Linked DNA regions of Stegostoma tigrinum. The protein of the gene in region 1 purifies or fractionates together with the protein of each later gene. This does not show direct contact. Links are inferred from orthologs where the notes say so. Each region holds a gene or a part of one and is shown in the gene's direction. Other genes may lie near its edges.

Region 1 (7,254 bases):
TCTTGAACCACAGCATTGATTCTTAATTGCAATTTGGACAACTGCTGAAGGGCAAAACATGCTTGCCTAATCAGAGACACTCATATTCCATTGTGAATTACAAAATGTGCTACTGTCATTGCAAAATATATGTATGCAATAAGGAAAATGGTATCAGTTATGTGGACAGGGACCTTTACCTGCTGTGGAAAATTTATACCAAAATTGTTGTTCTGTTTCCACCACACTCAGATCAATAGCTTCCTCGTGTATGATCTTTAGTATTCTGTACTAAAGGATTTTTTTAGAATAAAGCATTTTTCTGGAATTATTTTAGAAATATGCATGCTGTGACTGTGCATATATTGCTGTGCTGAGATTAACTGTTGCATAATCTACATAAATGCTGAACTCAGTCATGATCCATTAGCAGGAATTACACATCAGCAGATAAGTTTACCGTGAAGCAAATCTGCTCAACCAGCAGTACCCCCTCCAAGTTTCATTGAAAAAGTTTGTGTATATCAGCGTTGGCAATGGCCTGATGAGACATTGTGCAATACTGAATTTCTACTTTTGACCTCTAACCGTATTAAGGGAGATTAAAAATGTATCAAGATAGCTAACTTCACCAGATCAAACCTTGAAGTTGTCACTTTGCAGATTAAGATGCACCCATAGGCATGGCCCAAGAAATTGTTTTGCATTTTTGAACTTCCCATTGCATCTCAGTACTGATTTTACAAATCTGATTTTTGTGTAACATATTTGTTTGTATAATCATACCTACTTTTAGGTCGATTTGAAGTGCTACTTACTCTATATTACCAAACTGTACATTGATGAATATAGTACAATAAAATTGTGATGCTGAATTGCAGGAGACCACTCACAAATGTGCGTCAAGCTGAGTTTTGAGATAGCCAAAGAAGCTCAAGCACAACTCAATTTTGCCTAGACATATTTCATGCAAAAACAAGCAAATAAAGACACAGTAACTATGTGAAAAATGCATTTCCTTTTATTTTCAATTTATTCACACTTTACAACGGCCGGAGCATGTACTGTAAAAAGTATTAAAAATGTTGGGGTTATCTCTGGAAAATCTCAATAAACTTTTTCTGCTTAACATGATGTCTTTGGGGAAATGTGATACAGAATGCCATGCTGTCAATGCAGTCAAACATTTTTCAGTGTTTGTGTTCCAGCACAAAACCCAGGCCATTTCCACGGCTGCAGAGCTTTAGTTAGGGAAACGCAGGCATTCATTAGTCTCTTCACAATTATCTGCCATTTCAGTGATACTTACATGGCTTCACAGAAAGATGTTGATGTCAAGTGTCAAGCTTGCCTGGAATCTTGTGCTGCAGTGCAGCCTGACTCCAATCTGATTGATTGGTGTGGTCACATGACAAGTTAACACAAATTCAATAAATCTGGAGTTACCAGTCCAGACTTTTGATATATGAACAGCATCTTTCTGTTAGATTTCCTAACTTATCTACAGCTAGTTCAGTTTTCATGTCCACATTGTTGCTTAATTTAACTTAGAATACTAGTCTTGGACAGCACGTGGATAAACTTCAGAAGTTATTCATCCCAGTCAGGCATAAAATTAAAACGGGAAATGTGGTCAGACCACAGCTTGCAAGGGAAACTAAGAATAGTGTTAAATCCAAAGAAGAGGCATACAAGTTGGCCATAAAAAGCAACAGACCAAAGAACTGGCAACAATTTAGATTCCATCAAAAGGAAAGAAACAGGCAATTAAGAGAGGAAGATAATAAAATGTGAGGCTGGATGAACACAGCAGGCCAAGCAGCATCTCAGGAGCACAAAAGCTGACGTTTCGGGCCTAGACCCTTCATCAGAGAGGGGGATGGGGGGAGGGAACTGGAATAAATAGGGAGAGAGGGGGAGGCGACCGAAGATGGAGAGTAAAGAAGATAGGTGGAGAGAGTGTAGGTGGGGAGGTAGGGAGGGGATAGGTCAGTCCAGGGAAGACGGACAGGTCAAGGAGGTGGGATGAGGTTAGTAGGTAGCTGGGGGTGTGGCTTGGGGTGGGAGGAAGGGATGGGTGAGAGGAAGAACCGGTTAGGGAGGCAGAGACAGGTTGGACTGGTTTTGGGATGCAGTGGGTGGGGGGGAAGAGCTGGGCTGGTTGTGTGGTGCAGTGGGGGGAGGGGATGAGCTGGGCTGGTTGTGTGGTGCAGTGGGGGGAGGGGATGAGCTGGGCTGGTTGTGTGGTGCAGTGGGGGGAGGGGATGAACTGGGCTGGTTGTGTGGTGCAGTGGGGGGAGGGGATGAACTGGGCTGGTTTAGGGATGCAGTGGGGGAAGGGGAGATTTTGAAACTGGTGAAGTCCACATTGATACCATATGGCTGCAGGGTTCCCAGGCGGAATATGAGTTGCTGTTCCTGCAACCTTCGGGTGGCATCATTGTGGGTTAATTAAGAGAGGAAAATGGAGTGTGAGAGAAGGATTGACAGGAACATACAGACCAATGGTAAAAACTTCAACTGATATGTGGTGAGAAAAAAAAAGTGAGAACTAGTTGGCAGACACGAAACAAACAGTTGAGATAAACAAAATAATAACCAAAAGAATTGTGGATGTTGTAAATCAGGAACAAAAACAGAATCCCCCTCATCCTCACGTGCCACCCCACCAACCTCCAGATCCAACGCATCATCCTCCAGCACTTCCACCATCTGAATTCCGACCCTACCACCGCAGACATTTTTCCCTCCCCACCCTTATCTGCTTTCCAGAGGGACCACTCTCTCCGTGACTCCCTTGTCTGCTCCCCACACTCCCCTCCAGCCCCACCTCACCTGGCACTTTTCCCTGCAACCACAGGAAGTGCTACTCCTCCCGCCTCACCCCCATCCCAGGCCCCAAGAAGACTTTCCACATCAAGCAGATGTTCACCTGCACATCTGTTAATGTGGTACTGCATCCGCTGTACCCGTTGTGGCCTCCCCTACGTCAGGGAGACCAAGCAGAAGTTTGGAGACCACTTTGCAGAACACCTACGCTCAGTTCACATGAAACAACTTAACCTCCTAGTCACGAATCATTTCAACTCCCCCTCCCATTCCGCAGATGACGTGTCCATCCTGGGCCTCCTGCAGTGCCACAACAATGCTACCTGAAGGTTGCAGGAACAGCACCTCATATTCCGCTTGGAAATCCTGCAGCCCAATGGTATCCATGTGGACTTCACAATTTTCAAAATCTCCTCCTCCTACCGCATCCCAAAACCAGCCCAGCTCGTCCAAGCTTCCTTAACCTATCCTTCCTCCCACCTCAAGCCTCACCCCAATCTCCTACCCACTAACGTCATCCTGTCCCCTCAGCCTGTCCGTCTTCCCTGGACTAATCTATCTCCTCCCTACCTCCCCACCTACACTCACCTTTACCGGCTCCATCCCCGCCTCTTTGACCGCTTTGTCTCCTCTCCACCTCTCCTCCTTTATCCAAATTCTATCCACCTCCCCCTCTCAATTTCAGAAACCCCTTTCTCTGCCCCATTTCTGAAGAAGGGTTTAGGCCCGAAACATCAGCTTTTCTGCTCCTAAGATGCTGCTTGGCCTGCTGTGTTCATCCAGCTCCACACCTTGTTATCTCAGATTCTCCAGCATCTGCAGTTCCTACTATCTTTACAATGTGTTATCTATATTTTAATCACTCTGTTCAGATATATTATTACAGCAGGTGGGACTTGAACAGAAGGTTCCTAAATTCTATGTTTCTTAGACATACCTTTCTCCTCCTCAAACACGATGTAAATTGCAATCACATTCTAACTGCTGCTACCCAGAGGTACCCTTCCTGTGCGGACGATGTCTGGCAGGCTGAAGCAGGGATCTGCATCCATACACTTTGTGGGAATGACAGTGTGACAAAACGGCTAAGCGATAGCAGGAACTGCAGATGTTGGAGAATCTGAGATAACAAGGTGTAGAGCTGGATGAACACAGCAGGCCAAGCAGCATCAGAGGAGCAGGAAAGCTGACGTTTCGGATCTAAACCCTTCTTCAGAAATACGTCGGGAAACTGACCCCTCAGGAAACCGGGAATGTATGTCGCCAGGAGACATTTCATTTCAGGAACCCGAGCACCATTGTTATGAATTAAATTAATGTCTAATCCTCATCCCACCCGTACAGTAATTATAATAACTGTTACCTTACTCAGCATTCGGCATCTCAACAACGCATCCACTGCCTGGGAAGCAGTTCCGGGTTCACACCGGAAACGGTCTTCTCTGTCAAGATGGCGGCACCTGGTAAGGGGAAGAAGAAAGTTGTTGACCAGCAGGAGCTGCGGCGGTTAATGAGGGAAAAGCAGCGGGCGAGCGCGGCCGGCAAGAGGATCGACTCACCACTCGCTAAATATCCTTTTGGAGGGTCCGGAGGAAATGGGAGTTAGATCTCTTCTGCCAGACCAGGAAACCGTTTAACTCAAAATCAGGAGGATTTGTCAGGCCTGAGGGCGTCTTGGTCCATTTCGTGATCGAGATTTTTCAAATTCACACATCTGAAGTGACACTAACCACATACGCCAGTCAACAGTTTGCATTTACAGTACACCTCATCTTACCCGTGAAGTGCTTGGCATAAGAGGGTTTGCCAGGCTAAATTGAAGGGGGAGGCAAGGAGTCTAAGCATGAACCTGGCAAATTCGTGGGAACAGAAGCGTTTTCCTTGAAAATTATGAGCGAAAATAAAAGGATCCTTGGTTAGTTTAGCTCAAACATTCCCAGGCATCAACAATCGCTCCTCAGCTGTTTGATAGTTGCATTCCTTTCAGATTCCATTTGTGCTCTTCTAACAACTACAGTGTAATTGTTTTTTATCTATCTCTGTGGTTTATTTTATATTGAAACTTGTGGGCTTGATTTCCAAGATTCATTTGAGTCACAGTTCTGGGTCATGTCTTTTGAAGATCTTTATTGAGATTTTCCAGAATAATCAAACATTTGTTATTGGAAAATCTTTCCCAATCATTAAGTAGTTTCATGTGCAGTTTCCTGAATAAGTGGCAATATTATTGTTATGGGATAGCTAAGTTGAGTTAAATGCATGACTTAAAGATTGTTTTGGGTGTAATGGCTTTCAGTTAATGTGGCACTAGTACTAGCTTAGAAGATCAAATCTGGGAATTGAATATACAGGGTATGTGACATTTTGAAAGGCTAGCAAGAGTAAAAGGTTGTGTTGTTTCTTTATTAGTTACGGACATGCTAAACTTAAATAAGGTCAATTAAAAACGGCAAAGTTAGCTGGTGTGGACTAGGAAAGGAGTTTTCAGAAAGATAATTGAGGAACAAATGACAAAGGAATAAAATGAATACTTTGCATCAAGAAGAAACTAATTGCATTCCAGAATAAGAAATACGAAAAAGATCTCGGGGTAGAATGGGGCTAACGTCTGATATATCAGTGGTCCTGATTCATTGCATCCGAGGATTTTAAAAGAAGTAGCTACAGATAGTGGATGAATGGTAATAATCTTCCAGTCCTTAGATTCCATAAATGCCCCAGATTATTAGAAAATTATTAACGTAACACTCTTATTCAAAAACTGACAAGAGACAGAGGAAAGTAACTAGGCCCGTGAGCTTGATTTCTGTCATTGGAAAAATGTTATAGTCTATTATAAAGATGTAATCACAGTGTGTTTATAAATGTTTAATATAATCAGTCAGCATGATTCCATGAAGGGGAAATCATGCTTGAAATGTTTATTAAAGTTCTTTGAGGAGAATAGATAAGGTAAATCGATAGATGTAATGTATTTGGGTTTTCAAAAGCTTCTGCACATTAAGTCTTAATAAGACAAGAGCCATGATGTTAGGGGTGGCATAGTTGCATGAAAGAAGATTGGCTAACAACTGGAAGACAGGAAGTTGGGGTGAGGAGGCATATTCAGGATGGTTGTAATTAATGAAGTACTACAGGGATAAGTGCTGAAGCCATAATTATTTATAATATAGATTAATCACTTGGATGAGGAAAATGATTGTATTTTGGTCACTTTTGGAGAACACAGAAATAAGTGGCTAAGCCTCGTGAGGATGAAACAAAGTGTCTGCAGAAGGATAAAAATAGGTGACTTGATTGGGTAAAGACTTGACAGATGAAGTATAATGTAGCAATATATGAGGTTATGCACTGTGGCAGGGAGAATAGATGAGGTAAATATCAGTTAAATGAGGAAAGACTGCAGGAATCTGCAGCAAAGTGATTTGGGGGGTCCTCATGCATAAATCACAAAAAAGTCAGCATCAGTGTTCAGCGGCTAAAAAGAAAGGCATATGGACTGTTGGCCTTTATTTCAAGGGAATCATACAAAAATAGGAAGGTCTTCTAAAAGCTGCACGATGCACTAGTTGTACCACATCTAGAATACTGTAAATAGTTGGCCCCTTCGTTTAAGGAAAGTTGGCATTGGTGTCAATCCACAGAAGTTTCACTAGCTTGATTGTGGGTAGGGAGAGATTTTCTTATAGGTGAAATTGAGTTGGAGTTTGGAGGAATAAGAGAAAACCTAATTGAAACATTTTAGGTTCTTAGGGGGCTTGACAGAGTAGATGCAGGAAAGTTGTTTTCCCCTTGTATGAGAGTCTAAGACCAGAGGGCATAATTTCAGAGGCTGGAAGTTGTCCATTTAAAACTGAAGAAATTTCTTCCCTGAGTACAGTGAATCTGTGATTTTGTTTTTGTGTCACATGGCTAAAGAGACTGGGTTAAGTACATACAAAGCTGAGATTGACAGACTTTTTATCAGTAAAGGATTCAAGGATTAATGGAGAAAAGGCAAAAAAGTGGTGTTAAGGATTATCAGATCAGGCTTGATTTCACCGAATGACAGAATAGACTCAAAGTACTGAATGATCTACTCTTCCTTCTCCTTCTGATCGTTGGTCTTGTGAAGTCTGCATCAGTGGGCTTTACATTTTCTTTCTTTATGGATTAGGTTTTAACTTTGATGTTATAAAGTAAATTGGACTTCAAAATGATTATTGAGGCTCAGGTTTGTTTTTGGACTGACAACCTGCTCCCTAGCTTTGCAACTATTTCTGTGTCTGCTAAGCTGGTTTTTACAAATCCACAGAGTTGTAGGAACCTCTTAAAATTACTTCCTACTGACCGTTGCCTTGTCATCTGTAGTTTTCTCCCCCTTGCTTCTGCCACTTTGCACATTGATCTGCTGTTTATCTCCAAGCCTCCTATCTGATTATTGTCTTGTTGTATCTCAACAACTTT
Region 2 (7,995 bases), on another chromosome or scaffold:
TCCAGCGATGCTTCTTCAGAACAGTTTTGACCTGTTGAGGATTTTCCAGCAGTTTCAGTTAATGCTTATCATTTATAGAATATGAATAGTTATTTGCATACATACATTGAAATAGTAACTGCACACATGCTATTGAAACAAATGTTACATGAATATAGCTGAAAAAAACATATTTTACTGAAACGTTTACATCCCAGATGTCCGCGTTCTTCAAGGACCACAACTTCCCCCGCCGGAGTGGTCGAGAACGCCCTCGACTGTGTTTCCTGCAGTTCCCGCAACAAATCCCTCACACCATCCCCCTGCAATAACCGCCCTAAGAGAATCCCCCTCGTCCTCACATACCACCCCACCAACCTCCGGATACAACGCATCATCCTCCGACACTTCCGCCATCTACAATCCGACCACACCACCCAAGACATTTTTCTATCCCCACCCTTGTCTGCCTTCCGGAGAGACCACTCTCTTCGTGACTCCCTTGTCCACTCCACACTGCCCTCCAACCCCACCACGCCCGGCACCTTCCCCTGCAACCGCAGGAAGTGCTACACTTGCCCCCACACCTCCTCCCTCATCCCCATCCCACGCCCCAAGATGACTTTCCATATCAAGCAGATGTTCACCTGCACATCTGCCAATGTGGTATACTGTATCCACTGTACAGGTTGTGGCTTCCTCTCCATTGGGGAAACCAAGTGGAGGCTTGGAGATCGCTTTGCAGAACACCTCCACTCAGTTCACAATAAACAACTACACCTCCCAGTCGCGAACCATTTTAACTCCCCCTCCCATTCCTCAGACGACATGTCCATCCTGGGCCTCCTGCAGTGCCACAATGATGCCACCCGAAGGTTGCAGGAACAGCAACTCATGTTCCGCTTGGGAACTCTGCAACCCAATGGTATCAATGTGGACTTCCCAAGCTTCAAAATCTCCCCTTCCCCCACTGCATCCCAAAACCAGCCCAGCTCGTCCCCGCCTCCCTAACCTGTTCTTCCTCTTGCCTATCCCCTCCTCCCACCTCAAGCCGCATCTCCATTTCCCACCTACTAACCTCATCCCACCTCCTTGACCTGTCCATCCTCCCCAGACTGATCTATCCCCTCCCCACCTATACACTCCTCTCCACCTATCTTCTCCTCTATCCATCTTCGGTCCGCCTCCACCTCTCTCCTATTTGTTCCAGTTCCCTCTCCCCCTCCCCCTCTCTGATGAAGGGTCTAGGCCCGAAACGTCAGCTTTTGTGCTCCTAAATGCTGCTTGGCCTGCTGTGTTCATCCAGCTTCACACTTTGTTATCTTTTACTGAAACTTTTGGTTTTACATTCATCAAGACTGTTTGTAAGAAATACCAAAGTAAAAGTAAAACAACATTTATATAATATTACCGGACAGTGCTATTTGGTTGGCAAGTGGACTGTTATTTTTAGGGGCATTGTCATGAAGAATGCACTAGTTAATGATGAATGACAGAAAACTTCCAAGATTTATTCAAGTTTTAAACCAGAGAGGTTGCCTCTGATTGGTCAGAACATTACCTTAGAAACAAACTGGTGTATGCCTCTCATCCATGTTGTTGATTTGAAACAGGCACTATGTGTGTACATTTTCTCTCTGTCTATAACAAACTGGGATCTGTATATTAAGGCATGTAGCTTCCAATAAATGCAAGTGCACTACAAAATCTTAAATTTGTTGACAGTACAATTCTTTGCACACTCAGGATTATTGTCCAATTGCAGAATCACATCTAATGTTGGTCACTGTTGCATGTTTTGTAAGGGAGATGCTTGTCGGCTTATATTCGATATGATTTGCCTGTCTTTGGGATGTGCGGTGTACCCAGCATCACATAAGTGTTGAAATTAATACATCACATTACTCATTTGTGAGATAGATAGAGCATCTTTTTAGCTTAGCAGCAGTATCCTGTTAGTGATGAACATCACTCATGTTGGTACTGCATTGTAGCAATAAAACACAGCTAACTTCACATGTTGCTCAAACATTTGCGATATCTTAGCCTAGCAGGGTAAAATGAGATAGACCGTGCATATTTAAGGAGAGAAACTGATGGTCTTACATCAATTCATTTGTTTGCAATATAAAAATCAAGAAATGATGTGATCTAGAGTTGCCATTATTCCACAGGATAGTTTTGATGTGCCCTATCAAATGATGTTTCCCTTATAATGGCTTCTCTTTCCACTCTCACACAACTACCTCTACAGTCTATCAAGGATCTATCCTTGGGCCCCTTTGTTCCCATGCTACAGTGCTCCTCAGTAACAACATCTGAAAATTGACCATTTCCACTGATTTGTTGATGACACTTAGCTCTATCCCATGACTACCATGCTTGACTCCTCCACTGTCTTTGACAATATGTACATCCAATATCCAGTATTGGTGTGCAGGGTCTGTCCTGGCCTAAGTATTAGTACACTGAAGTTATGGTCACTGCCACAAAGTTGTTTCTCTCGCTCATCATTTATATGCTTCTCCCTGACAACCATTTGAAGCTAAGCTGATAGCTTGCAGTTTTCTATGTTGTGTTTTGCTCCTTAGTATTAGCTTCCAGATTCACCTCTCCCTCCATGAATATCTATTTTTGACTTGGTAACTTTGCCTCATGCTGACATTGCCTTCATCTGTGTCTTTCCTACTACTAATCTGTCCTAGAGGCCCCTTGGACTGGTTCCGATTTTTCAACCACATGTAAACTATGTTCATCCAAACTCAGCTGCCCATATTTTAACATGTAGTAAGTCTCACTCCCCTTTACCCCCAGTACTTGCTGACCTGCAATGGTTCCCGATCTGACAATAGCTTAATTTAAAAATCCTCATTCTTGTTTTAAAATCTTTCCACAGCACTACCCTTCCCTGCGCTGGAGAGGTGGTTCCACCTCACCAACCTTCTGAGAACTCTGCACCCCTCCAATTTTGGCATCTTTCGCATCCTCAATTTGAATTATGGTACTACACTACCGCAGCTGTGCTTTCATAAACTCTGGAATTTCTTCCTTAAACGTTCATGTCTACCTTTCTTTCTCTCCGTTAAGATAGTTCTTAAAACCTAGTTCTTTGACAAAGATTTCACCCATTTATTCTGTGGCTCAATTTCTTTTCCTTCTGTGATTCAATGTTCAATTTAGTGTTTGTGCACTTTTTAAGCAGCTTGGAATGTGTTAAAAGTGTAATTTGTTGTTGTAAATATGAACCACCCCGACTTATGTGAAATCAGATTAATCTTATATTGTAAACATTCTACACTTATTATATTCTGCACTTTGTACTGAGACCTGTCTTAATTATTATTATTCTCTGCAACATTATGAATGCCTTTTGAAATTTAATACTATACTGAACATTCTGAATAAACCAGTGATAGGTCTTACTTTGCTGAGACTTTGTTTTCCAGTAGAATATATTTTTGTTAAATATTTTGGAATCGCAGAACAATTATTTTGAATTTCATGGTTAAATGTTTTCCACTGTCAATTTATTGGTTTATTCTATTAAATTTGATTTATTATTTTCACATGTACTGAAATACTGTTTTGTGTGCTATCCAAGCAAATCATAACTTACATAAGTATAACAGGGTGTGAAACAGAATGCAGAATATAGTGTTACAGCTACAGAGAAGGTGCAGTGAAGGATTAACTTTAATATTTGAGAGGTCCAATCAAAAGTCTGATAACAGCAGGGAAGAAGATGTTCTTGAATTAATTGGTACGTGTTTTCATACTTCTGCAACTTCTGCCTAATGGAAGAGAATGGAAGAGAGCATGAGTGGAGTGGGAGGGGTCTTTGATTATGTTGGCTCCTTTCTCGAGGGAGTGGGATGCATCTGGATAGGATACTTTCTGTGCTGCATGCTGAATGTCCTTAGCCTTCTGAAGATGTAAGAAGTGTTGGTATGCTTTTTTTCAATCAGACCATTGACGCGGATGGACCAGGACAGATTGTTGATGATCTTTACTCATAGGAAGTTGAAGCTCTTAACTGTCTCCAGCTCAGCACCATTGATACAGACAGCTGCATGTCCTTCACTCTGCTTGTTGGAAGTTGATAACCAGCTCCTGCTTGTTACTGATATTGATGGAGAGATTGAGATAACAAGTTGTAGAACTGGATGAACACAGCAGGCAAGCTGACGAAAATTTCTGAGAAGGGTCTAGGCCCCAAATGTCAGCTTTCCTGCTCCTCTGATGCGGCTTGGCCCGCTGTGTTCATCCAGCTCTACACCTTTTTATCTCAGATTCTCCAGCATCTGTGGTTCCTACTATACTTGATGGAGAAATTGTTGTCTTTACATCATGCCACTAAGTCTCTACCTTTCATTGTTAACCTCTGTATACATAGACGTATTTCATTAATTCAGATGGTGTGGGCGCAACTGGCTGAGCCAGCATTATTGTCCAAGCCTCATAGTCTCTTGAACAAATGGTGTTGAGCTGCTTTCTTGAATCACTGCAATCCATGCAGTGATGTGCTGGCTCGTACGGCTCAGTGGCAGTGTCCTCATCTCCAAACTGGAGAAGCTGGGTTCAAGTCTCACCCTACTGCCAAAGGTATACCACAACATACCCCATCAGGTTAATTTAGACTATCTATGTTGCCGTCACAATGGAGCAAATAAATCCATAGTTATCCTGCAAACTTTTGGAAAACCGTATATTGACCATAAAATCGAGCCATTCAAAATGACTGAGCAGATGATGCAGTGGACCCAAACAGCAGGACACCTCCTTTCTGCAGTGATAATGGGAACTGCAGATGCTGGAGAATCCAAGATAACAAAGTGTGGAGCTGGATGAACACAGCAGGCCAAGCAGATGATGCTGCTTGACCTCCTTTCTGCATTTCGCACTGGGTCCTTGTTAACTTTCCAGACGTCAGTCGGGGCGGAACATTCCCTCCAGCGCTCCGGGTTTGCCCGGCCCTTTGTTACAGGCGAACCGGTCTGTCCGGAAGTGAGCGCAGTTCCGGCGGCCTGAGGGAGGTTGTGTTGGGAGCGGAGGTTTGAGGTAGCGGCGGCTGATCCGACACCATGGGGAAGAGGCAGCACCAGAAAGATAAAATGTGAGCCTCGAGCTCTTCTTGCTGTTGGGAGAGCGGCCCCATCGCCCTTTGCCCTCCCTGTGACGCTCAAGCAGCCCATTTAGTTCACTGCGACTCGGCCTGAGTACATGACCCTCTTTAATTTTAAAATTCTCACCCTTTTCAGATCCTTCCCCTCCCCATCTCTGTTATCTCCCCACATCGCCAATATTCTGTGCTCTTGTGCATCCCTGATATTAAATTGCTTCTCCATTAATGACTCTTCTTCGGTCTGCTAAACCCTGAGCTCTGGAATTACCTCTGTATTCTTCTTTAAAATACTCCTCAGTTGCTACGGTTTTGATTCATCATTTGGTCTTTTTGTACTGCCTCTTTAGTCTTGCTAATCAGTGCTTGAAGCATTAAATTAGGTGGCATTGTATGCTGCAGACTTGTGCAGCAGTTCCTATTTGTGTTTTTCTTTCCCCTGTCTTCTTCGGAAGGGAGCAATTCTTTCTACATTGCAGCCCCTCACCTCTGTGTACATTATTTCAGTGATCCTGCAGATATTCACAGGGTTTATATGTGGAGTAACAGAATGTAAGGCAATGACACCACTTGAGGGATTGGAAACACCATTAATCTCAAGTATCTGGAAATGACAGTTGCATACCTAAAATTAACTCAGATATTGCTGTCAGTTCCATGCAAAAGGATCCACAGCTTGCATTTTGACAAGTTTATTTTTATTTGTTCATGTGATGTTGGCATCACTGACTGGGCCAGCAATTATGTCCATTCCCTGATTGGTCTTTTGAAAGGGCACCTTCTTGAACTGCTGGAGTCCATTGAGGTTAGGTGTGCCTACTGTGCTGTTAGAAAGGGAGTTCCAGAATTTTGACCAAACAAAAGTGAAGGACTGGAGATATAATTCCAGTTCAGAATGGTGTATGGATTGAAAGGAGACTTGTAAGTGTTGATGTTCCCACGTATTTGTTCTCCTAGGTGGTAAGGGTCGGGGATTTAGAAGGTGCTGTCTAAAGAACCTTGGTGAGTTGTTATTAGTGCATCTTGTAGATGGCATACTGCTGCTATTGTACATCAGTGTTGAAGGGAGTGAATGTTGATGGTATTAGAGAAGGTATTGGTCAATGGGATGCTTTGTTTTGTCTGGCATTAAGCTTCATGAGTGCTGCTGGAGCCGCACTCATCCAGTAAGTGGAGCATATTCCATCACATTCTTGATCTCTATCTTGTAAATAACGCACAGGCTCTGGGGAGAGAGACAATTGCCTGGTCATTGAGAGATGTGATTTTTTTGTAGCTTATCATGACAGTACTGGATTTAGTCCAGATTTGCTTCATATGGATTGACTGCTTCAATATCTGAAGGTTTGTGAATGGTGCTCAGTTTTGTGCAATCATCAGTGAACGTTCCCCCTTTTGATATTATGGTAGAAGGAAGGTCATTGAAGCATCTGAACATGATTGCATTCAGGAAATTAAATATGCACTCCCTGCAGTGATTTTTCGGGACTGAAATGATTGATTTCCAACAACCACAACAATGTTGCCTTGATTGAGGTACGACTGTGAGCAATGGAGAATTTTTCCCTGATTGCCGTTGACTGCAGATTTTCAGAGGATCCTTTTCTATGCCAGCAGCTAGTGTTTCATTAGTCACCAACGAAAGAAATCAGCTTCTTTGTTTGTAAGGTATAATTTACATTGACATTTCATAGAAACTGTGATATTCTGTATTTACCAACAAAATGAAATCAGAATAGAATTTTCTGACATGAACAGGTGATGCAGAGTGAGAAGTGTGCCTGACAAGCTATCATCAAGGAATGTTTTGCAGTACAAAATCAGTAAAGTCTGCAGTACTTTTTTTCAGTTCCAAAATTAATCACGGTGGGATTCAACTTGCCTGAGCTCTGCTTTGGAACTGGAACTCTGGCTGTTAAACATTGTGGATACTGTCCTGAAGAGGTGACTGGGTTGTGGGGTTGTCAGTTATGTTGTTGGGGAGGGACAGAGTGTGTGTGCTGTCTGGGAGTAAGTCTTGTTCCAGCTGTCCCCTTGACTCAATTCAGTTCGGTTACTCTCCTTTCTGGAAAGTATGGTTTTAACTAGGATGCATTTAAATTAACTATATTTCCTCAATTATCAGGGATGTATTTTTAACTTTGTTGTTTAAAGCTGTCAATTTGTACGTGCATTCCTTTAGATGACTTGCCCGTTCCTAAGTTCCAATCTGCTCCTCTCTTCCTTCAATGGGTAAGTGTCTCACGGGCGAGGTCAATATTTTTTTGCCCTTGAACTGAGTTTCTTGCCAGGCTACTGATATGGCAGTTAGGAATGAGCGTGCTGCTGAGTGCCTGGAGTCACATGTAGCAGACCAGGTTAGGTTGCCCAAAAGAATCAAGTGAACAAGGTGATCTTTATGACAGGTAGTGATAGTTTAATGGTCAACATTACTGAGACTAGCTTTCAATTCCAGATTGTAGATAGTTTTAATGATGTTCAACAGTGCTATGATGTACCTTTGGAGCAAGTGGAACTTGAAGCCAAGCACTTCCCTCTCACAGATAGGGACACTACTACTGCACCACGTGACCACTTGGATTTTTCCCTGTTTTGCTTATCCATAAGTGCAATTACACACACAGCAATCAGCTTTCTCCACCACCAAATCACGCATGGCAACAATTCTGGATTCTATTAGTTGATTTTAACTCTTTCCCTCTCCTCCCCTCCTCCCAGGTGCTGTGACGGACTACAAGCCCAAGTACCCAGAGCATTGGATTAAGTGTCTCAATCAGTAATCTAGTGACGTTACCCCTGCCACTTCATTCTATAATTCTGTTTATAATGTTGCACTGAACTTTATTTTCTTTTCCAGGTACATTACCTGTACAGAATATACAAATTTCTATGGTGGC
Region 3 (7,902 bases), on another chromosome or scaffold:
ATGTATAGAATTTTATAGAAGGAAGCCATGTAGCCCACTGTGTCTGTCCTGGCAGCAAAATAAAGTTGCAAACAACTGGTTTACTAATTGGTATTTTACTTTGGATTCAGTCAGTATTATCAATTTAAAATGATTAACATGGTTTGACCTGCAGTTACAAGTTTCAGTAATATGTGTGTTGTATGACACACAGCAATTCGGTGGTTCTGGTACATCAAAAATGCTGGTTACCTATTGCAGTTTGTGATAATTAGTCGGTATCAAATAAAAATGTATTAACTTATACTGCAACCTGTTGTGGCTTCAAACATTTCAACTATTTGACTTCTTCGCTCCAAACACTGAAGTAAAAGTCCTTCAACTTGCAGCTGATTCTTTTACAATTATTTCTAACTGACATGGGTATTTTGTATAGCAACAGTGATACATGTGGTTAGGGCGGTATCAGATTCATTTGTTGGAACGTTCCAGTTGGAGAGGAGGCAGATATTAAAATTTTACTTTTTTTTGCAGATTGCCAAGAACCAAGGATTCCACAAGTTTTGATTCAGATATATTCAGACTGGATGCGTGGATTGTGCTTAGCTTTGAGGAAAAAAAAACAAAAACATTGCAAAATTTCAAATAACCAGATCCTGAAACGTTTTAAATGTACCTTAAGAATTTAAAAGAAATATATTTTGATAAATCAAACTATAAAATTATCAAGCAGGGCACTACTTTGATTTAAAACTTGTTTTGTTTTGAAAATGGGCGTCTGTGGCCAGGATAGATTTATTTATTTTTTTCCTTCTCTTTAAAGAACAAGAAATAAAAGGTTAAAGGTATGAGAATGGAGCTAGATTTTACTTTGCAGTTGAGTTTTATCATTAAGGTGTGTTTTAATTTTTAAAACTCAAGTTTGCCTAAATCTGGAAAAGTGTGTTTCTGATTGGGGAAAGGAGAAACCAATAAAAAAACTTTCACTACAATGTGTCAGTTGTCGTCATTTGCACTGGAGGGATTTTGATATTGATGCGTATGTTTTATTTATTAGGTTTTGGCTGTATAGTAGACTATTTAAATGGGGGAATGGAACTTCAGAGATGAAGAAGAATTATTTTATATAATGATAAAGTACTGTGGCTGTCATGAGATGCTAATAATACCTTGACATGTTTGTAATTTCCCATTGAAGCAGCAGTGGATTCCAGATAAGAACTCCAGGGCCCTGTCATTGTCATCAGTAGATCTATCACTGTCACACAAGTCAACTATTTCTCCACCCTCATTTGCAATTTGGTCTGTTTCCTCCAAGCTGAAAAGAAGTTTTCTATTAAAAAAATGTTAAAAATATTTCATGGCTGTGAACTGATATTGGGGTGCTTAAGTTCAGAACTAAGTGATGGGACTTGTCCACTGATAATGGGCAAGTGTCTGCTTTGTCACAGTGGTTAAACAAAATACTATGTAAATATAATGAATCTTCTGAATGGGGAAAAAATGTTACAAACAATGTGCATCTCCTGATGATTGTTTAGAAAACATAGACTGCTGGAGTCAGAAGAGAAGATTAATTTCAGTTTGGAGGAGAAAGTATAAGACAAGCAAATGTAATGAAAATATGTCAGTTTTTTTTAAATGATCATTTCTGCTTCTCTTGAAATAAAAGATTGTGATCAAACATGGTATAACACATGTATTTGCTACATTTTTTTTGTTTCCAAAGCCCCATCTGGCTGATGTCATAGGGAAAATCTGGAAACTCTTTGACACAGATCAAACACCAATACAGCAGCGAAAGCCAGCAACTTGAATTATTGACTGCACAGATATTAACCAGAATATCATTTTAAGGCAGATTTGGCACCAGTCATCCAAATCAGCCCAATTCCTTTGACTTTAGAATTTTAACTTTTACGGTATGAATAATTGTTAAGGAAAAAACACTGAAAATATACATATGCTAGTTCTAGCATAAAGACCAATTTTCTATAACATTCAAATCAACAATTATACTTTCTAGTTTGCAACTAGTTTTAAAAAAAGTCAAACTTTTGGCAATTTTTTGCATTGTGGAGCAAATTTCCTTTAGTGACAAACAGAGAAGACAAAGTTGTCAGAGCAAATTGCTCAAGAAATTCTAAGGTGATAAAATTATTAAAATTAATTATTTAAAAAAGCTTGTCTTGAAAATGTATTGTTTTAAGTTTGACTAAATGCTTACTGATTTTAAAAGAGGAACAATTGTTAAATCTATCTTCTCTCTGGATGTTACACTGCATCTCACTATTCCAGTACAAAGATGTAACCTGGTTTCATCATCCATGAGCATAACAAGTGCATTTCACATGATCTCTGGCATTTGTCCCATGCAAATTAGTTACTGTAACTAATGGTTTTTTTTAAATTATGTGTCATAAATAGCAAAGTTAACAGGATTGTAAGCCATATGTACAAATGAAAATTGACTGTAGGGGAAATTATGAAAATATGAACCATTGAGTCCTAATGGGTTGAAACTGTGACCTACTGCACAAATCTGAAAAGGAATGGTTCAAGTTTATGAAACTGATTCTTTTCTTCATTTAGAGAACAATTGTATACAGCCAGATCTGTAAATAGTAGAATTTCCAGCATTGGGGAAATGGTAGGAGAACACTTCAATCAAATCATAAAGACATCACAAATCCATTTAAACAAATGCCTACCTTTCAGGTTTGAGATCCAGAAGAATAAACTTGATTTTTCTTACTAGTATTTTCCCCCTTGGAGATATTCTTGCTGGAATGTTGTCTCAAAGCCAGTAGATGCCACCGGATGTTTCGTCCAAGTTCTCTATTGAGCGTTCAGTATATAAATTATTCAACATTATGTCAATGCCTAGTCCTGTCCAAGCCTGTTTTCACGTATGTGCTTTTTTACAGATGATGTCACTGGGTACCTCTCCCTTCTCTGAGAGGTTGTGATGCTGGTTGTGGTTACTAATAAAATCAATCCAACAAAGATTAGTGATTGAACCTGAGACCCTCATTGTCTAGTTGGTTCAGCCTTCCAAATCACTGTTGGTAGTTCTTTGAGTAACTTGGATGTGGAAGCTAACGTACACTGGGAATATGGGGAAAAATAGGCCATTCAACACCTTCAGCCAGTTTTGCTTTTCAAGTAGATCATAGCTGACTTGGTTACATTTGCAGATGGTAACAAACTGATTGTGGCAATTAAGGGAAGTAGGCAAAAGGCATACAACTGGTGTCGTTTACGATATCCCTTTGGAAGGTGTGAAAATAGCTAAAGGTTGAGGAAATTGAAAATAAATGAGGTAATGGCCAACTTAGTGAAGGAAAAATATAGTGCAGTATTTTATTGCCAAATAAAATTAGAAATTCAAGACTGTCACTTAAGTCCTGTATTAAGTTTGGCTCATATAGAAGAGAAACATTCCAGTCATGGAACACTGCAGAAAAGAGGCCTGAAGCTGATTCTCAGTGTGGAAGGTTTTTTTTCATATGTGGGACATGGGCATCATTAGCGGGCAACATTTATTACCTGGCCCCGTTGCTCTGGAGAAGGTGGTGGTGAATTGCTGCAGTCCATCTGCTGTTAGTTGACCCATAATGTCCTTAAGAAGGGAATTCTAGAATTATGACCCGGTGACAGTTAAATAACTGTTTTTTGGAATACCAGTTAAGAAAGAAGGTGACTGAGTAGGAACTGACAGAAGGTATTTAATATTTTACAGTAAAACCAGCTCATAATGTCAAGGGAAAAAGATACTTACAGCTGGGCAACATAAGGTAAAGTAACCATAGTCCCATTCTTTCATTAGAGAAAGATGTCTGTGGTGGTTTAATTTGAGGGGAAGGACGGAGAAGAGTGGACCTTGTCACATTAGATACTGTAGGAATTGAACACAAACTGTTGGCCTCAGTTTGTATTGCAAGCTAGCCATCCAGCTAGCTGAGCTAACCAACCCTGAAAAGGCACACATAATGGTATCAAGAGGAACTGCAAACTGCAGTGGTCACCCGTTGTAACTAATCTCAGTGTAAGGTTTGAAAGTGCACAATTGTTACAATTAAGAAGGAAAGTTCATTAAAGATTTCACAGAATAAAGTGCTGAAGAATTTTTTTAAATCTTGGATGGATTAACTCTGGTGTCCAGAGTACAACCTTGTGGGAGAATCTAGAACGAGGGCTCATAATTTTAAAATAAGGGGGTGCCCATTCAAAACAGATGAGGAAAATAAATTCCTCAGAATAAGTCTCAGGAATTCCCTTTCTCAAAAAGCAGTGGATGTAGAATCTTTAAAATGTTTTAAGACAGAGGTGGACAGATGGATATGTAGGAATATATGGTTGAGGTTCAAGTCAAATCAGCTCTGACGTTATTGAATGGCAGAGCAGGGTTGTGCAGTCTACTCTTCCTTGATGACATGTAACCCCTATCTGCTTATTTAGTGGAAAAATGATCAAGTCCCATTTATAAACTAACATTTTAAGGCTCTTTGTGAGACTTTATAGAGTGAAGTCTGAACACAAATTTTCCTATATATCGTACAGAGAGCACTGTGGAATACTACAGAATATAAAGATGTTATTTCCAAAAAAGCACCTGCCCCAGGCATGTTTTGATTATCTATATGATCCCTTAGAGACAGTTTAAACATCAGGCTCTGCAAAGATACGTCTCCTATCAGCACCTACTCTATCCCACTTTAACTATTACTCCAAAATTGCTCTCATTTTCCTGTCTAGTTAATTTAGAAATTAGCTTATATTTTGTTGGGTTTTTTTTTCAATTTTCTTTTCAAGTTCGGAATTTTTTTGTTTGAAAAAGAACTTATTAAATAAACCAAACATTGAGCAAGTGTCTGGGTGAAAGGTTGGAGTTGAGAGGGGAAAGTTCAAGGGAAGATGGCGTCGACCAAGCGGGTGCTGTATGTGGGTGAGTGAGGAAGGGCCACGGCCGCTCTTCAGATTCTTTCCACAGTCAAATAACATTCTCCATGGGGTACTTGTCCGAATTTACTCAGTGCGGTGGGTCTCTAGTGCAGCAACGGGGGAAATTCCAAACCCTGCACAATTTAACAAAAAAAAACTCATCTCTGCGAGCAAGATCGCCTGTAGGTTGCTTATCGTTTGCTTTTTTAAAATCTTACCATACTCCAAAAATGTTTTTTTTTCAGTTTATCGTTTTATAGTTTATCATTTTTCAGTCTGAGAATGATTCATTCAACAATCATGTAGAATTGTACAGAATACGGGCTGTTTTGATTACTGTGTCCTTTTAACATATTGATGAAAGACGAAGCATCATTCTGCCGTAATTACACATAATTTGCTGTCGTTGTTATAATGGTTATCCATTTATAACTATTTGTAACCTGAGACATGGTGCTATGATGACTAGTCCTTGGGCCAGTGATTTCAAAACTCTTCCACTGTGACTCAATTTCGAGGCTTGTAAACTGTCACCATTCTTCAAAGAGACCTTTGAGAGTTGTTGGGAGAAGTTAGATACCTGTGGGCATTGTTGCTTGTTAGATCTGGAGCACAGTCGTTTGGGATTACACAGCAGCAATTATAGCCTTGGAACTTGCAACCCCCTTCTGGCCTGATCCCTTTTGGGAAGCGCTGCCTTTAGATGATGGTCTTTATTTTAAGATCAGATTACTGTTGAACCTGCAATGTCATGTACTGACTTAATAGACTGTCTAGTCACATGAAGGAACTCCTGATTCAGTCATTGTGGCAACAGTTGGACCTTGTTTGATCTGTGGGTAGACTTTTTCATTCTTATTGTAATACATATCTATAAAAACACACTTGGAAATAAATCTACAGTGTGTTGTGCTTTTAAAAAAAAATTTGGATCTTTAATAGTTAGATGTCCCATAGCTCAGCCTAGAAGTGTGTAAACATATTTTGCTGTAGAATGGTGGAATGCGGGTTTGTGCCTCAAGTTGAATATTTAATCTCAGATGTGTCATGTGAAAAGAAGCATAATGGGAAATTAAGGTATCTCCATGATGGAAGGAACATTTGGAGACTGATTTTCCTTAATAATCATTCACAATTGCAGGTTAGATAGGTGCTTTACCATTAATTAGCAAATGGTTTTGAAAGGAAATTGGATCAACTTGAAGGAAATAAACTCGCCAGGCTGCAGGGGAGTGGGATTGACTGTTTTGCTCAAAGGAGAGCTAGCAGAAACTTAGATAGCAGCCGTAAATGACTCTGGCAATGGGACGGGCAAAAACTTCTGGTTGTATGACGTTCTACAACTACATCTGGACAAGAAGTAATGAAGTCTCCATTCAATAGAGGCCAAAAAGATGGCCAGTGGATTGCACTAAGTCTGTTCAAATCTGATCTCTTAAAGTTGCTGCAAATTAGAATTAACATTTATTATAGTATCATTTTATAAATCAAAGTTCTTTATATTTAAAAATCAAGGGCAGTCCATATGTAGCTTATTTCTTAAAAGGTTTCTTAATCAGTTGCTGAGCTCTTTGATAGACAAGTAGATGTGCTTTGTTCTAAACACAGTTTTTGTTTGGAAGGATCAATTTAATCCTTTTTTCATTTGCATTGTATGTTGTTCAGTTTATTTTTCAAGATTTCTTTTGGAGGAGATGAATACTATGGGCAACATACTATGTTGAAGCTTAAAAGGCCTGAAACACCAGCTTTCCTGCTCCTCTGATGCTGCTTGGCCTGTTGTGTTCATGCAGCTCTACACCTTGTTATCTCAGTTCTTTGTAATTTACAATGTGACTGAAAGTTTTAAAAACATGAGAAATTATCCTTTGACCACATTGTTTTAAAAAATATAGCATTTTAAATTCTTGTTGACTGAATGTTGAGCATTCAAATTCATTTAAAAATATCATCATAAGACATTTTTGTGTTATTGTTTATGTGATGATGTATCAGGCAATCACTCATTTCAGCACCAGTGGAGATTTGATACTGTTCCTTGTGTTGGGGCAAAATTTTTGAACATACATAATTGTGTGTTTCCAAGAAACACAGGAAAAAGCCAGGTATCTCCATCTTTTGGGTGCTATATGCTGCAATTAGGGAAGGAGGCCTTAATACTGGATAACATATTTTATATACTCTGTGTATAGTTTCACTTTATTAGTCTTGCCCTACTTAAAGTCAAGTATTTTATACTCTAAAACTAATAGTAAAATACTGGTGGATAAACTTGACTTCTATAAAAAGGAATTTTTGTGGACAGTGTGATTGAGAGAAGTCACAGGCAGTCAGAGAAGGATGGTTAAGGTGACTGAAGTTGCGGAGAATAAAGAATCATTCAATGCAAATCAATCCAAGTGAAATGCAAAGACTGTGAGGATGGAAGGGAGATGAGTTTGATAGAGAGGGTGAGATGAGTTTGATAGAGAGGATGTGGGTCCTGTTATGTTCTGTGGTTAAGGTATTTCTAGCTAAAGAAAAACACCTACAAAACTGCAAGATGCTTGTCATCAAATGAATGCAGCCAGTCAGACTTGTGATTGAATTAAGTAGGTTTTCCATTGTTTGAATTGTTTTTAATTCTGTTATGACATCTGGTGTAGCTGCCATTTGTTACCCATCCCTAATTGCCTTTCAGAAGGCTGTGGTGAGCTGACACCTTGAGTTGCTGCTATCCATAAGGTGTAGCTACACCCACAGTATCCGTTAGGGAGGGAGTTCCAAATTTTTTGGCTCAGTGACAAGGTATTTTGTGGTCAATGTTGTGGTGTTCTCACAGAAAATCTTGTTATATTTAATGTATATTTTGTGTTTATCACCTGTAGGTGGTCTTGCTGAAGAAGTAGATGAGAAAGTGCTTCATGCAGCTTTCATTCCATTTGGTGATATCATGGACATTCAAATTCCACTGGATTATGAAACTGGTAAATATTTCAC

The links. The genes of interacting proteins can lie anywhere in the genome.
Region 2: the proteins of znf830 (region 1) and ppil2 purify together in Homo sapiens (co-immunoprecipitation; 4 studies listed by BioGRID and IntAct, counting the BioPlex papers as one, with this or other methods). This does not show direct contact. The link is inferred for Stegostoma tigrinum from reciprocal best matches to the Homo sapiens genes ZNF830 and PPIL2.
Region 3: the proteins of znf830 (region 1) and ppie purify together in Homo sapiens (affinity purification with mass spectrometry; 3 studies listed by BioGRID and IntAct, counting the BioPlex papers as one, with this or other methods). This does not show direct contact. The link is inferred for Stegostoma tigrinum from reciprocal best matches to the Homo sapiens genes ZNF830 and PPIE.

Annotation. Positions count from the first base shown.
Region 1 is NC_081355.1:92,356,377-92,363,630, reverse strand, and holds the start of znf830 (zinc finger protein 830), read left to right. Parts: upstream 1-4,246; 5' UTR 4,247-4,258; coding exon 4,259-4,380; intron 4,381-7,254.
Region 2 is NC_081379.1:43,741,782-43,749,776, forward strand, and holds the start of ppil2 (RING-type E3 ubiquitin-protein ligase PPIL2), read left to right. Parts: upstream 1-4,976; 5' UTR 4,977-5,060; coding exon 5,061-5,092; intron 5,093-7,955; coding exon 7,956-7,995. UniProt on the Homo sapiens protein: Has a ubiquitin-protein ligase activity acting as an E3 ubiquitin protein ligase or as an ubiquitin-ubiquitin ligase promoting elongation of ubiquitin chains on substrates.
Region 3 is NC_081377.1:33,673,809-33,681,710, forward strand, and holds the start of ppie (peptidyl-prolyl cis-trans isomerase E), read left to right. Parts: upstream 1-4,883; 5' UTR 4,884-4,896; coding exon 4,897-4,927; intron 4,928-7,790; coding exon 7,791-7,889; intron 7,890-7,902. UniProt on the Homo sapiens protein: Involved in pre-mRNA splicing as component of the spliceosome. Combines RNA-binding and PPIase activities.